Caenorhabditis elegans: one gene and its partners. The protein of the gene in region 1 purifies or fractionates together with the protein of each later gene. This does not show direct contact. Each region holds a gene or a part of one and is shown in the gene's direction. Other genes may lie near its edges.

Region 1 (4,542 bases):
TTTTTTCAGCAACTTATGGATTTCCTTTTTTGGATATACAAATTTTCACTTTTTAAAAATAATAAATTAAACTCATTTTGTGAGTGTTTGTATAAATAGTTTTCGACAAATTGTAATTTTCGGGTGAAAAATCTGAACAAAATTGAGTTAAATTTTTAAAAACTCTTAAATTTCTAGAAAGTAATGTAGTCAAAATTTAAAACCTTTACTCTAGATTGAAAACGAACAGATGTTTTTCTGCAATCAAATTAATTAATTTGCAACATTTAAACCTCTTGACGTACTGAAATTGTTCTTTTTTGTTTATTTCCTTGTTCTCTTACAATTGGCAAATCTTTTGTTTGAAAGCAGTAACACATCATACTTTTCCAGACTAATCTCTTCAATAATTTCTATGAGTTTAAAATGAATTAAGACAAAGGTGCAAGAAAGATATGACATCATTTGACCTACATGCTTCATTTTAATTTGTATACCGCTTCAAAATGATATCATTTCAGAAGATGATGCGATTTGAAACAAAATTTGAGAAGCCGTAGTGTATGTAGTAGTTTTAATTAAATCAAATCATCTTAGTATAAACTGCTTCCGGTTTCCGGAATCTAAATTCAAATCAAAATTTTTTTGACTTGACATTTTTAGAAAAATGGCAAGAAACTGATCTAGAGACAACCAGACATCAGTGATCAGCTCCGATTCTTGGTTTACTTGGACTGAACAAAATACGTAAAACAAAGAAATTAACGAACGAATCTTTATTGTGCTTTAAAAGCATTAGTTGCAAGGAAAAGAACACTTGGAGGGTAGCTCAGGCTACTGTAACCATGATTTTATATTTTTGTTTTTTAGGTTTTCTGGGGAACTTTCAAATCTCCACAGGAAGATCCAAATCTGGGTGTTATTCGTTTATTCAGTGTCTTCAAAGATTTTTATCGTTTTGCAAATAACCTTCATATCCAAATTTATGCAACAATTTTGGGACTGGCGGATTTATTTCTAAACAATTATGGGAAATTCAATATAATAAAAATGTTCGAGCCTTATATATATTAAAAGTGCGGAAAGTTTGTATAAAAGTGGTGCCGAATTGCCGAGAAGGTTTTGAAACTCTCTAGCGTTTAAATTTCGACTGAAACTTAAAAATGGATTATCGTGTATTTTGGCAGTAGGCACGGGGCAGGCATATATCGCCTTGCACGCGGACAGACAGTCTCATGAAAAAGTTATCTTTCAGTTCTTTTTACCAACCTTAAATTTACTATATATTATTTTAGAAAATATCCTTTTACGCGCAATTTTTTGAATAGAAAGCTTCCTATGACATTTAGCAGAGTTTAAGAAAAATTTAATTTCTACATTTCAAAAATTAGAGAATTTTGTATTGTCCAGGTATTATTTTTTGTTTTGAAGCACTATTTCAAAATGAGTATCATTTCAAGTCATATAAGAAATGAGTTTAATTTTGATCAGCTTATCATTGAAACCGGAACTCTTGCAAAAAGAAAACTTAGATTCATAAATAGTCGCATCACTTATTTTTTTAATGTTTACTTTTCATTTCAAGTTTTTTATAAAGTTCACTTTCTAAACACTCCATGAACCATGTATACTATAATAGTTGTTTGACTCCGGAAACTGTGCTCTTTCATTAATTTGTGGGCGTGGTCATGCTCTTCATTGCGTTCGAAATTTCAATCTTCCTACTGTACTTGTGGGCGTGACCCCGGACTTATAAAAGAAAATTCCAATTGATACATCAATCACAAATTTAATTCATCGTTTTCAGCCATGAAACTACTTCTTCTGGCTCTGTTTCTGAGCATATCCGCAAGTTGCCTTGCAGAAGATATAACAAAAATTTCTGAAAGTCGAATTCCGAATGAGGATGCTGTACCTGATTGTTAGTTTTTTTTTTCTCAAGGTCTTTTTAATTCAATAAACATAAAATATTTTTAGATGAAGCAAAATGGAGGCTCGGAGCAATTCAAAAATTATGGAATGAACGACGAAAGATGGGACACACACCAATGACAAAATTCAGTCCCCCTGGTTTCCCGAACGCCGACATTTTCTTCAAAAATGAAACTGCCACAGCTACGAGAACGTTGAAGCACAGATTTGCATGGGCTCTTCTTCTTTGGGCTATTACAGAAGGTTAGTATGTTATTTAATTGGTGAAGTACAGTGTATCTGCGAAAACTTATATTCTGCAGGTTTTTTACTGCTAAGCTATGAGTATGAGAGCTATGAGTAAGCTAGTCCAGAAACGTTAAATAAATAACATTTCTCAAAAAAAATTTCTGCAAATTTTAAAATTTCCAGGAAAAGTGACTTCAAAAACATCCGCTGTCTACGACTCAACATCTGGTAATACTGGGTCTGCTGAAGCCTACATGTGTACTTTAGTCAATGTCCCATACTATGCTGTCGTTGCTGATAATTTGGAAAAGGAGAAAGTCAAGCAAATTGAGAGTTTCGGAGGAAAAATTATCAAGGTACTTCTTCTACTTACACAGAGTCACATACAGTATTTTTGGTTTAATTTTCATTTAATATTGACCAATTTTTTGAGTTAGCCAAAGTTTTTCCAGTTTTTAAGAACTCTAACCCCAAAACTTTCTCATTCAACTCAACGCCAATTTCTTATAAAATTTCTTTATAGAGAAACAACTTTTATTGTGTGAAATTTCGCGTTAAAATTTTTAAAGATGAGGGAAGCGTTGTTAAGAAAGTTGGAAAATGTCGAGAAAGAAGCAGAAAAATAAAAAAAATTATTGTAAGTTTTGCTTTGTTTCAGGTTCCTGTGGCTCTTCGCAATGCAAAAGCTAAGGAATTCGCCGACAAAAACCACGGATTCTACATGAATCAATTTGGAAACGCTGAAAAAGCTGAAGAATTCCATGAAAGTGGAGACTTTTATTTTGAGTCCACAAATGTCTATCATGAAATTATTGTTCAACTCAAAAAGGACAAAGAGCAAATTGTCAAAATCCCTGACTACTTTGTTCATTCAGCAGGAACCGGTGGAACTATTTCGTCAGTTGGCAGATATGTCGCTAGATATGGAGCACCTACAAAAGTCGTACTCTCCGATTCTCAATACTCTTTATTCTACGATTATGTAATTGGACATAAATTCACAAATCAATCTGGTGCAGGTATTTGGACACCTCCAGGGATTGCTGGAATTGGTTACGGATATGATATTGAACCAGTGTGGTACGGAGAAACAACAAGTTTAACAAGAAATGTAATCCATGAAGCCATGAAAATGCCTGATATTGCATCAGTAGCTACAATGAGAATTCTCGATGAAAAAGGTTATAATGTGGGACCGTCAACATCACTCAACTTCCTTGTTTCTCTTTACAAAGCCTATCAGAACAAGTAAGTAATTCAAACTGACATCATTGCAAACTAATCCGTCTAGAGTATTTATTCGTTGTCTTTTGACGACTTAAGCGTTTACTAGTACATTTAAATTTTTGCGTTAAAAAATATGTTTTAATAGTTTAGTTTACGCAAGCGTATCAATATACCTTGCGTATACCTTGGCTATCAAATCTTGATGAACACAATTTTCAGAGCCAGAAAATCTGCTATCAAGCATCGTCTTACGATTGTTACACTGGCTTGTGACCCAGGAGATTTCTACCGTAGTACGTACCTTAACAACGAATGGGTCGAGAAAAGTTTCAAGAAGTTTGGAGGTGTTATGGGAATGGAATGTTGGAAAAAGCTGATTCAAGAATCAATTGATACGGGTTCTGATTTCTATTCGAAAGGTCTCACTATGTGTCCAGGAGCTTTTAAAGTTTAACTGTTTTGCATTTCTGTGTTTTTGTGTCTCTCCGTATTGTACAGGTTCGTAATTGATCAATTTTAAATTAGATTGTTTTTTTCGAAAATAGAACTCATAGTTCCAGTGATTAAGTCTATTCCCGTGCATGAGTTTTGTGCTTGCTTTGATCTGTATTCAAGTTTAATTGAATAAACTATTTATTATTTAATTATCTGAAAACGCAAAAGTTATAATATTTGCACATAAGGCAAATATGAAAATATACACAACAAAAATTGACCAGTCGACGCCGCGAACAACAGGTTGATCAAGAAAACCATATTGAAAATCAATTGAATCTTTTTTGCGACCATCCGGTGTGTAGATGATTCCTGAAAACAGAAATTGTGATTTTTCAAAGTTCTAAAAACTGACCTGTCAATGATCTTTTCGAACAAATGAACATTTTCTTGCAAACTTCACAATATGTTGGACATTGCACAATATGTGTTGAATTATTGTCAAGAAAAGCCAACCCATCGTAAAGAGGACAGCTGACAACTTTATTTCCGATCGAAAATTGAAATATTTCAGTTTTGTTGCAAACTTCGTTCTGAAATGCGGACTTTACTTACATGGCGAAAATTTTAACTCACTTGAATACGGTACATTCTAGTTGTCTTGGAAACAAATTTAGGAATATCTCCCGTTCTCATTAAGGAAGTCAATATGTTAACTTCATTCGGATCTTTCTCGAATAG
Region 2 (5,618 bases), on another chromosome or scaffold:
GAATAAGGGAAGAAAAGGAAAATCAACTAAAGATCTTCCACCCAGCACCACGCATTCGACTCCTTTACGACGCAGTACACGCATTCGACGAGCTCCTGAAAGATATGGTTTAACTATGAAGCCGCCTGCAACCTCCAATGGGATCCCTAATGCAAAAGGTCCAGCCGCCACTCGCAACGGAAGTTCCTGAGAAAGAATCAAGGATAGAATCTGAACTTGGGATGTTAATAAATTTTTTGTGTTTGAATGTGATCACTGGCAAAGATTTCAGGTCAATCCTTACAGTTTGCAGCAATTTGTAAAAACATTTGTTAAAAAACGCTTCTGGTCGAATGTCTGCTACTGGTGGTGATCATATTGATCAAATGAATATGAGTACCTACGCGACTGGAGCACCAGGTTCAGATCTTCCGGACACTCATGATGACAATAAAGTAAGTGTGAAATGCAGAAGAATTATTAGTTTTTTTTTTCAATGTTCTGGAATCCTGGAATTGTCCGTAGTTGTAGTTGTACGAAATTTGAATTGTTCCGCGTCCAAAATAGCATCCTCTATGGGAAGCAACAGTGTTTGAAATTGTTGAATTTGAGCATGGATAGAAATAAGTTATTTGATCAGAAGCAGAACAATAAAGACCAGAAGATGCACATGAGTTTCCGTCGGCTGGAGTATAACCAGGAGTTTTAGGGTCCAAAAAGCTACTTGTTGGTCCTCTTTCAAACCAGTTATAAAATCCTCCACGGTAGAAACAGTTTGATGCATCTTGATCGGACTGATGTCTGAAATTCATCAATTTTGAAGTTTCTTGAATAGCATGGGCAAAGAAAGCCGTCAAATCTCGTTTCTTATTTTCATGCAGTATATACATCTGCAAAAATATGAAATAATCTCGAAATGTGGCAATACTTGAATTTTGAAGAAAAAATATTTACATACAGTATTGTTGACATTGATCGAAGTTCCAAATTCTGGAAAGTATCTGGATGCAATTTTGAAAACATCGTAAGAATATGGCCAGCAACTCGAAGGACCCCATCCAAGATTGGCAAATGGGAACAGGTCTTCAAACATTTCTCTCGTGAACCAGCATTCTAGTTTTGAAGCAGGAAGATTATTTGGATCCGTTGGCGGAGTGCATGATTTCGGAGGTCCATTGCCGCTTTTGGACACAATCTACCATTTCGAAAACGATATGCATACACAATAGAACAGTCTATAAAAGTGAAATTCGCATAAGTTTCTGCTTTAAAAGCTTACACGATATAAAAACAGCTATGAGTACGGAATTGATGATAATCATAATATTCAATCAACATTTGAATGTGTTCAAGTTTTGTTTAAGTACTTTTTATTTATTTTATTATTCAAAACACACATTGACGATGCATCAATTTTTAAACTTGTATAGTCGCTATAACATAGCACATTTGGCAATTATGAAAACAATTATTAAATAACACATTTTTTCAGATTGACAAATTGAAATTTTCAAACGCATGTAACCACTTTTTTCAGCGATTGATCTGCAAAGGATTCCCAGTATACACAAAAAAGTCATATTGATGGGGTTTAAAGAGAGCTCGGAGTAAAAAATCTCGAAGGCACAAATCTTCCCATATTTTGTCCAGCTGATTCAAGAAAAACTGTTTGATTCAAAGTTTGAATAATTTTTTTAAAACTCCTACTGAATTCTAAATGTCTTTAATTACTTTTCAAGATATTCATAATTCCGATATTTAACCAATAAATCTCAAGATCATTGATTTCCCACAACACGCTGTCACCACCTACACGTGTTCACCAGAAAGTCGTTTCCCAGATCGAAATTTAACAGTGTGCAAACTTCTTTCGCCGCGCTACTCCACTTGTTGCTCATCCATCTTTTCCGCTTCTTCTCATCCTCATTTTCACTCCCCCACTTGTGTTGTTTCCTCATTTCTTTCCACCAGAGCCTAGAGAAGAAGATATTTCTCGCCGTTTGTCCAGGTGTACAACAATCAACGCTTCAAGATGGTGGTCAGTTTTTTTTTCAATTTTCAAATACTTTTATCTAAACTTATATAGTGAATACACAAGAATTACACAAATCTGATTCCGTAATTGTAAAAATATGCAATTGTTACAGAGAGTAAAGTTTGGAAAAGAACAGTATGAAGCTATCAAGAAATTTGAAGTTCAGCATCACGGAGATTTCTGGAAGTTGATTATGGATAAAGTAAGTTTGATTTTAAACTTGATACTAAATCTTACAACGTATTATCCAAATAAACATACCATGTCACGGTTTTTTTAGACTTTAATTTTTTCTTTATACAATAGATTTTTAAAGGTATTATGTATAGTATTTTTTGTTACTTTTATGAAATACTCACAAAAAGAAGTAATCATAAAATAGTAATTTTTCGCTAGAAGTCACAGGTTTCTATTGGATCTTCGATGCCTTGGCGTCTAGAGCCACTAGTGCTTTGGGGCCTAGATAGAACTAAAAGTTTTACAAAGTTTTATTCTCGAATAAAATGGTTCAAATGCAATTTCTAACACACGTAAATTTTTAACCCAAAAATAAGTCTACTTTTTCAGATGGGAAAATCCGATGGTCTTTCAATCTTGGACGTCTCAGAGGAAGCTTGTTTATTTGCTTTGACTTTGGCTGAAAATCACCCAACCAACAAGTAAGCATGGGCAATAAAAGAATGGAATTAGAATATAGGTTTGTTTTCAGGCTAACAATTATGACATCGAGTGTAAGACCAACTTTCGATTTTCCTGTCAATGTCCAATATCACAAAGGGAGCATCCTGAGAAATGCCGATTCAATCGCCCAGGTGTGTTCGGAAGCGTTCTTTTTAGTTATTGAATCTCAAAGAACCAATCACATAAAAATCAAGTTAATGTGACCTATCAAATAATTGATAGAATATCGAAAGATCTGGGTTGATTGGTGTAAGTGTGTGCGTGCAGATGTGTGAGTTGCCATCTGTTATGTAACAACACATGCTCATTTTTTCTTCTCTGGAGCCGCCAAAACAGCGAAAAAGACCCGTGGTGACAAGATAATTGTGTCGTGAACCTTCGATCAGAAGATTTTTGAAGTTTACTCAGAGCCTTTTCGTTTTTTGAGGCGACGAATAAGATGGCGGATTGAATTACACGGTCTAGAGTTGAAGATGAAAAAAGCCCGCATGAAACACTCGTTAAATTAGAAGATACCGGGGTAAAGGAGACAGAGACGTTTGACCAAAAATCACTTGAATTACGTACTCCGTTGGCTTTTGACACTACTTCAAAATATATCTTAAAGTTGACAAACATTGTTTACAATTGTCAAAAACTTTTGAAAAACTCTATTATCTACAAAACGATTGATCGAAAGTTTTAGATGTTTTTCAAAAATGATAGAATGTTTAAAACTGTGAATGAATTGATAACAGCAATTAAAGATACCGTTCATTAAAAAAAACAGTTTTGTGTAAATACTTATGTATTTCAACATATGTTTAGTAATAAATTTCTAAAGGTATTGTCAATCCAAGAAATATTTTGTGCCACCTATCCTTGGAAAAATTTAAAAAAAATTATAGCAATTTCTTTTTTAAAAAATTCATGTGTTTTTTTTATTAATTTTTATATTAATCTTTAATTTTTATTACAATTCACGAATCAATCATTGAAACAATGATGTGTTAGAGTTCTACATATTAAAAAAGAAGTTGGTATTTTCGAAAGTCAACAATTATTCCTCTCCCTTTGTAGATTTTAGAAATTACTTTCAACGAATCCGTCTGATCATTTTGTAAGTGTTGAACAATTAAAAAATATTATTCACGAGTTCATGCTACAGAGTTTCTCACGCCTCCGAACAACTTGTTGCCGAACTAGTTCTACTTATATCTTTCTCAAAAATAAAAACTTCCGCCTAAAATACAATTTATTTTCAGAGTGGTCCCTTTGATCTCATTATTTTCAACGAGATTTCACACGATATTGGAGATATTGATGGATTGTTCAAAAAGCTGAAAACTCTTCTTAAAGGTTGATCGAATTCGGACGATACTTGAAGAAAATTGTTATTAACTTTTAGATGGAGGTCAAATAGTTCTCTTTTCTCGCCCCAAGAATCCACCATTGCCAGTTCCCGATATATGTCTCATGCTTTGGAGAAAACTTGCAGCTACTAAAGAGGAATTGCTTGCATCAGCAAACGCCGTAAGTGATTATTCAGCTGACTTTTTTGACTACTTAGACTTGGATTCCCACGGATCATGGGAAGATCAGTCATCAGACTAGATTACTGAGTATGATCGAAATGTTTTTGAAGCATCTCGTGATCTCAATTAAAACACAGATGGAGTACTTAGTCAGTAAGAATATAAAATTCCAGGAATTACGAGGAAATTTGATTTTAAAACACTTCCGTCAAAACCTATGCCAGTCCATTTCAGATCATAATCATCAATAAACCAACATTGTATGATTTCTAAATATGCTTGAATGTAACCAAAATTTCATTAAAAATCAAAAAGTCAAAAATAATTTAATAATATTAGTCAGCATAAACCTTTGCCAGAAATTGTTAATTAACTCTCAGTCAGCTGTCATGAATTCCCAGTTGAACCTTTTTTTTTAATAGGAATTTGGGAAAGTATTCCAAAAAAAAAAACCAATTTCAGGCTCAACTCAATTCTACATGCTTCTCTGCAGCCGTTCCAATTTCTGTCGACAAGGTTCAATGGGAGAATATTTTGTATTCCGGTTGCTTCCCAGCCGTCAAGAACACCCCAAAATGTGATGAACGTACTATTCGTGATTTCTGTGTTTCAAAGTCTGGAAAATTCGAATTCGAGGAGAAACTTTTGATCGTTATGTTACGTAAATAATTATTTGATTTTGTTATTGAATGTTTGTCTGCAGGGTTCACTTTCCCTAGTTGGTCCAATGATTGGATTTTATGAATAAACTCACGTACTCTGATCTTCTCTTTTGGTAGAAAAAGTTGCATTTTGCACGACACAATCCTGTGAAAAAACGGAAAAGTTTTCAGATTTCTGTATTCTGTTCCTTGTTTCATTCATTGATTCTATTAAAATGTTCGATCATTTGGATCTTAATTTACTTCCACTTGCGATCTTCTTTATTTTTTGTTCAACTATTGGAGTGATTGGAAATTTAATTATGATAATATGCTGCTCTGTTACAAAGTAAGTGTGGAATTTAATAATTACTGGGCATATTAAATACCGGCACTATAAAATAATTTAATTTTCAGAAGACTTCATTCTCCTTGTTATTTTTTAATATCACTAACATGCCTAATTGATGCATTTCATATTAGTGGGCAATTTCCATTCCTCATTGAATATTTCACAGGAAGTTGGTTGAATTGAATATATTCTAACTTTTTTTCAAACTTCCAGTCACATCGAGTCAATCAGAATGCTATTTTATTCTGATTCTTCCAATCGTTGGATATTGTGCAGGTGGTCCATTGATTCTAGCGATGGGAATTGATCGGTTCATTGCTGTCAAATTTCCAACATCGTATCGGTATTATCAGCAGGCTTCTGTAAAATATCTTTCAATACAGTTGGTGTTCCCCATTTTCTACACTCTATTTTTT
Region 3 (4,217 bases), on another chromosome or scaffold:
CATGAAGAACCCGCCGTCTAGATGCCGTGTAAGAACTCCAACACCAATTCCAGAAGACGATCTTCCAGAAGACACAGCTGAAGGCTCCGAAGAGGGTAGAGAATCTGAAGAGACTGGCTCGGAAACCGGATCGGATTACGCAACAGATGAAGGACCAAATGTCGGACGTCGTCGGGTTAGACGAAATGTAGAATTGGAAAGCGATGATGATGATGAAGATGAAGAGGAAGATGAAGAAGAGGAGGACGGCGTTGAGCGTCAATTTGATCCCGAGGAGGCCGCCAGAGTTGCATTCCTTCTCAATACGTTTTCTATGAATGGAAATGTCATCTTCGTGGAGAATGAAGGTGACGTAGAAGACGATCGCGTTCCAGATGACGTGATTGATAACTTCATTCGCAATGTTCGCAGAGTGCACATGGAGCCGGATATGTCTGCACCATATTTGAATATCCCACTTGATTAATATCTTTTTTCGCTGATTGAATATCATTTTGTTTTTGTTCTACATTCTTTTGTTTCCTCAAAATCTCATCACAACGTATTTCATGCTCAAAAAATTTACCATAATTCCCCACGAAATTTGTAGACGTATAATTTTATCGGATACCACATTTCCAAACTCATCATACACCCCCATCTTCAAATGTGTCTAATTTTATATTGTCCGGTTAGGCTTATTGAAACCAAAGACCTAGTGAGCTTTTTATTATCATTTCCTCTTTTGTTCCATACTCTTTCCCATTGTTTCATGACAACATCCATTGGTCAACGTTCCAAAGTGTTTGGCGCACTGAAGTACGATTTACGAATCAAGTTTTTGGTACCCCAAAAATGATTTGTTATTACTTTGAAATAGAATGCAAAAATAAATTTATTACGTCGGAAATTCATAAATTCAGATGTTTATTACTAATTCTTGTTACTAATTCTTGATCAGTTTGGAAATGTGGAGTTATATTGAAAGTTGAATATTCTGACTGTAAAATATTTTACAAGTCTCGAATTAGAACTAATTCACATGACACGTTTATTTTTAGTTCGAATGGATATTAAGAAAAGTTAAAATAAGTCAGTTTTCGATCTGAAATAAGCAGTTCATTTAGGATTAGCAAGATTAGTTTTCAATAATTTATTGACTTCAAGTAATTTATGTCAAAATTTTTCTTATGTTTTCAGTGTATCAACATATTCACATTTTTTCACATTGTGCAAACTTAAAACTGGTGAATTAAAGTTAACAGGCTTCAACTCGCGTGCCAAGTTTCGGAATGTTTTGTTTGAACCTGAAAAGTGCTGCAACTGCTAATGTAATTTCATTAGTAATTTCGGCAATTTGGGCCCGAAAATGAGCATTGCCGAAAATATAAAGTTTCAAAATTTCTGAAGATTTTAAATCGAATAGATGTTTTTTATATCAGAATGCTCAGTATTCAAGTTCAAATGTCTCAAACCTCAAATTAATAGGTAATTTTTGAAATAGCAAACGGTATCCAACATCCAACAATTACGGCCTTTGTCATGCACTTTTTAGAAATGAGCAAATGCAAAACTTTTCAAAAATTGATTTGAAATTTCCTATTTGCACAACAAGCTCAAAATTATATTGACATAAATTCCAAGTTTGTATCACGAGCATGCTCATTATGAAAGACACCAATTTCAGATCAATCTTATGATTCTAATTGTCATTGTGTTTATTTGCTCGTTCTCCATCATCAACAACATACTGGGCGGACGTTAATTTGTAGCCAACTATCAGTCAATTGATAAGATACCCCACACAATTGGTGGCTCTTTTCTTTTTGTCTGACAGTTGAACAGTCACTCTGGGTTTTTCTTTTTACAATTTGATAAGTTCTGTATTGATTTTTATCATTAACATTTTAGAATGAGAACATTCTCAGTTGCACTGCTGCTTGTCTTTTTTGCGTCGAGCGTTTCATCCGTTCGCTACTACTCCCTTGCTGACACCTTCCAGTCAGTAATTGATACGGAAAAGGCATTGGAAGAAGAACTGAGAGTTAATTTTGAAAATGCGAGAGCAGCAAGAGACAAATACCGGGAAGAGACTCAGAAGAAACTGAACGAAACGCTTTCAAAGGTATCTGATGCAGTTAAGCAGAGAGCCGATGAATTGGAAAAGGAGAAACAGGTCACAAATCAAAATTTAAATATCAGTTTTCTTATGATTTTTTTCAGGAAAAAGCTGAAGCCAAGAAAAAGGAAGCCGAAGCAGCGATCGAGAAATGGAAGGAGGTTTCTCAACAAGTTGGAGAATTCGTCGAGTCAGTTAAGGAAAAGAAACAAGCCAAGGAGCAAGAAAAACAACAGGTTACTATTTAAATTTTAAATTTTTTGGATTATTATTTCAGAAAATTGATGATTTTGTGAAAACTTTTACGGACAAAATCAAGCAAAAACAAGAAGAAAAAGAAGCACAGAGGCAGGAGCAAATTGAGGTATAAATCACAATTTATTTAAAAAATTGAAATAAGAATTTGAAGTAATGACGCTTTATTTGTATTAAGATATTACTAACTACTACTTGGTTTTTCTTTATAAATGCTCATCTTATTCTAGAAATGGAAGCAAGCCTCTGAGAAGCTTCAACAACAAAGAGAAGAGTTGAAGCAACAAATCGATGCAGCCAAACAAAAGCTTGATGAAAGAAGAAAACAGAAACTGGAGGAATTGAAAACCGATTTGGCTCAAGTCAAAGAGCTGGTAACTGCTGAGGTGAAGCGTCGCGTTGACGAGAAAAATCAACGGCTTGGCGAACAAAGAGAAAATCATGAAGCTTTAAAGCAACAGATCAATGTGAGTTTTTGGCAATGTCTTCCAACTGATTTCCCATCTTGATTTCAGGATAAACTTGCTGATATTGAGCAGCAGGGGAAGAATGTTGGTGATCAGGCAAAAACATATGAGCAGAAGAAGGATGAACTTTCGGATCTTATTCAGGTAATTTAGGGATTTTAATGTCTTCATGCAATTTTTGATATCAGGATCTAATCGGGCAAGGTGTTAAGGATAAGATGGCCAACCAAATTTCGGACAAGCTTCAGGGTCAACTTGACAAGGCAGCCTTGAAAGAAGTTTTGAACGAGAAGAAAGTTGAACAAGCTGGAGCCCCACCACCGGTTAATGAGATCCCCGTTGATATTGCTCCGAAAGCAACAATTCTTGACGAGTTAGTTACTTACTATTAGCATCGAGAAATACCTAAATCACGATTTTCAGAATCACCGGAAAAGCTGCATGGGAGACTGTAACCTGGGTTCTTCTTGCTCTGTGCATCCTTCTTTCAATCGCCTTAATCATTATCATTGTTTATCAAGTCAAACAACGCTCTGTCTACGAACGGCTCGACGGCAACAACCAGGTTTACAATCCAACATCAGAAAGAGCCCCACTTCTTCCACCACCAGCAACTCCAATAACTGCTCTACCACTGGCTCCTGCCAAAGAAGAACAGCAGTTTTAAACTTTGTTCGATAACCATGTGATTGTATTATAAAATTGTTTGCACATTGTTTTGCCATTTTTCACGTATAAATTTTTTGATTGATCCTGGTTATTATTAAAAACAAAACAAATTAAGGGAGCCTGTTAGTGTTAAAATTTGGGAACCAAAAATTATAATGCCACGTCAACTTCAAACATTTTCAAAAAACGAAATAAATAATTTCAAGAATACATATGTATTGAAAATTAAGAAGGGAACCAATTTTCTAAACAATCTCAACGGAAGTTTTTAATGAAAGTTTTGATTTTGGAATGTTTTAAAGGCAATGCACGTTGCCGTATGCACGTTGTTTAAACTCATTTACATTAATCTTACATGCAGCGAAAAAAACGCATTGAAAAAATTCAAAACATTTTTGGTGGGATGACAAATTTTAAAACAAAATTTCCGTTTTTCAAAAAACTTTTGTCGAATTCCAAAGGTTTAATATTTGCAAACCGAATAACTGCCACATTCCATCTGTAAATTTAAACAATTCAGAACATTTCTGAAAAGTTTCTCGAATTTCTCATTGGTGCTGCTTTACCTTTGCCATTATTAACTCGTCAAATTACAAAATAACTTCCGCAATCGGAGACTTGAGACTTGACAGCCGAAAACCAAATTCGATTATAACTGAACTGTACGATTTTGGTTATAGTTTGTATTTTTTTTTGTACTTTAATGACGTAAATTATCGTCATATTAT

Evidence for each region.
Region 2: the proteins of F13B12.4 (region 1) and C51E3.9 fractionate together in Caenorhabditis elegans (co-fractionation; one large-scale study listed by BioGRID). This does not show direct contact.
Region 3: the proteins of F13B12.4 (region 1) and lro-1 fractionate together in Caenorhabditis elegans (co-fractionation; one large-scale study listed by BioGRID). This does not show direct contact.

The regions. Positions count from the first base shown.
Region 1 is NC_003282.8:10,444,049-10,448,590, reverse strand, and holds F13B12.4 (Putative pyridoxal-phosphate dependent protein F13B12.4), read left to right. Parts: upstream 1-1,786; 5' UTR 1,787-1,788; coding exon 1,789-1,900; intron 1,901-1,956; coding exon 1,957-2,154; intron 2,155-2,322; coding exon 2,323-2,495; intron 2,496-2,797; coding exon 2,798-3,387; intron 3,388-3,585; coding exon 3,586-3,820; 3' UTR 3,821-4,006; downstream 4,007-4,542. Other genes in the region: F13B12.7 (Neprosin domain-containing protein), read right to left, coding at 4,007-4,173, 4,217-4,394, 4,438-4,497.
Region 2 is NC_003283.11:10,144,007-10,149,624, forward strand, and holds C51E3.9 (Methyltransf_11 domain-containing protein), read left to right. Parts: upstream 1-1,946; 5' UTR 1,947-2,011; coding exon 2,012-2,017; intron 2,018-2,126; coding exon 2,127-2,216; intron 2,217-2,581; coding exon 2,582-2,673; intron 2,674-2,723; coding exon 2,724-2,826; intron 2,827-3,939; coding exon 3,940-4,033; intron 4,034-4,082; coding exon 4,083-4,207; intron 4,208-4,645; exon of another isoform or gene 4,646-4,671; coding exon 4,672-4,878; 3' UTR 4,879-4,971; downstream 4,972-5,618. Other genes in the region: srsx-26 (G-protein coupled receptors family 1 profile domain-containing protein), read left to right, coding at 5,087-5,199, 5,268-5,371, 5,416-5,618.
Region 3 is NC_003284.9:6,270,199-6,274,415, forward strand, and holds lro-1 (Lysosome-Related Organelle protein), read left to right. Parts: upstream 1-1,890; 5' UTR 1,891-1,891; coding exon 1,892-2,155; intron 2,156-2,202; coding exon 2,203-2,334; intron 2,335-2,375; coding exon 2,376-2,462; intron 2,463-2,583; coding exon 2,584-2,820; intron 2,821-2,868; coding exon 2,869-2,964; intron 2,965-3,008; coding exon 3,009-3,193; intron 3,194-3,243; coding exon 3,244-3,487; 3' UTR 3,488-3,570; downstream 3,571-4,217. Other genes in the region: W05H9.2 (Dynein heavy chain 7, axonemal), read left to right, coding at 1-466.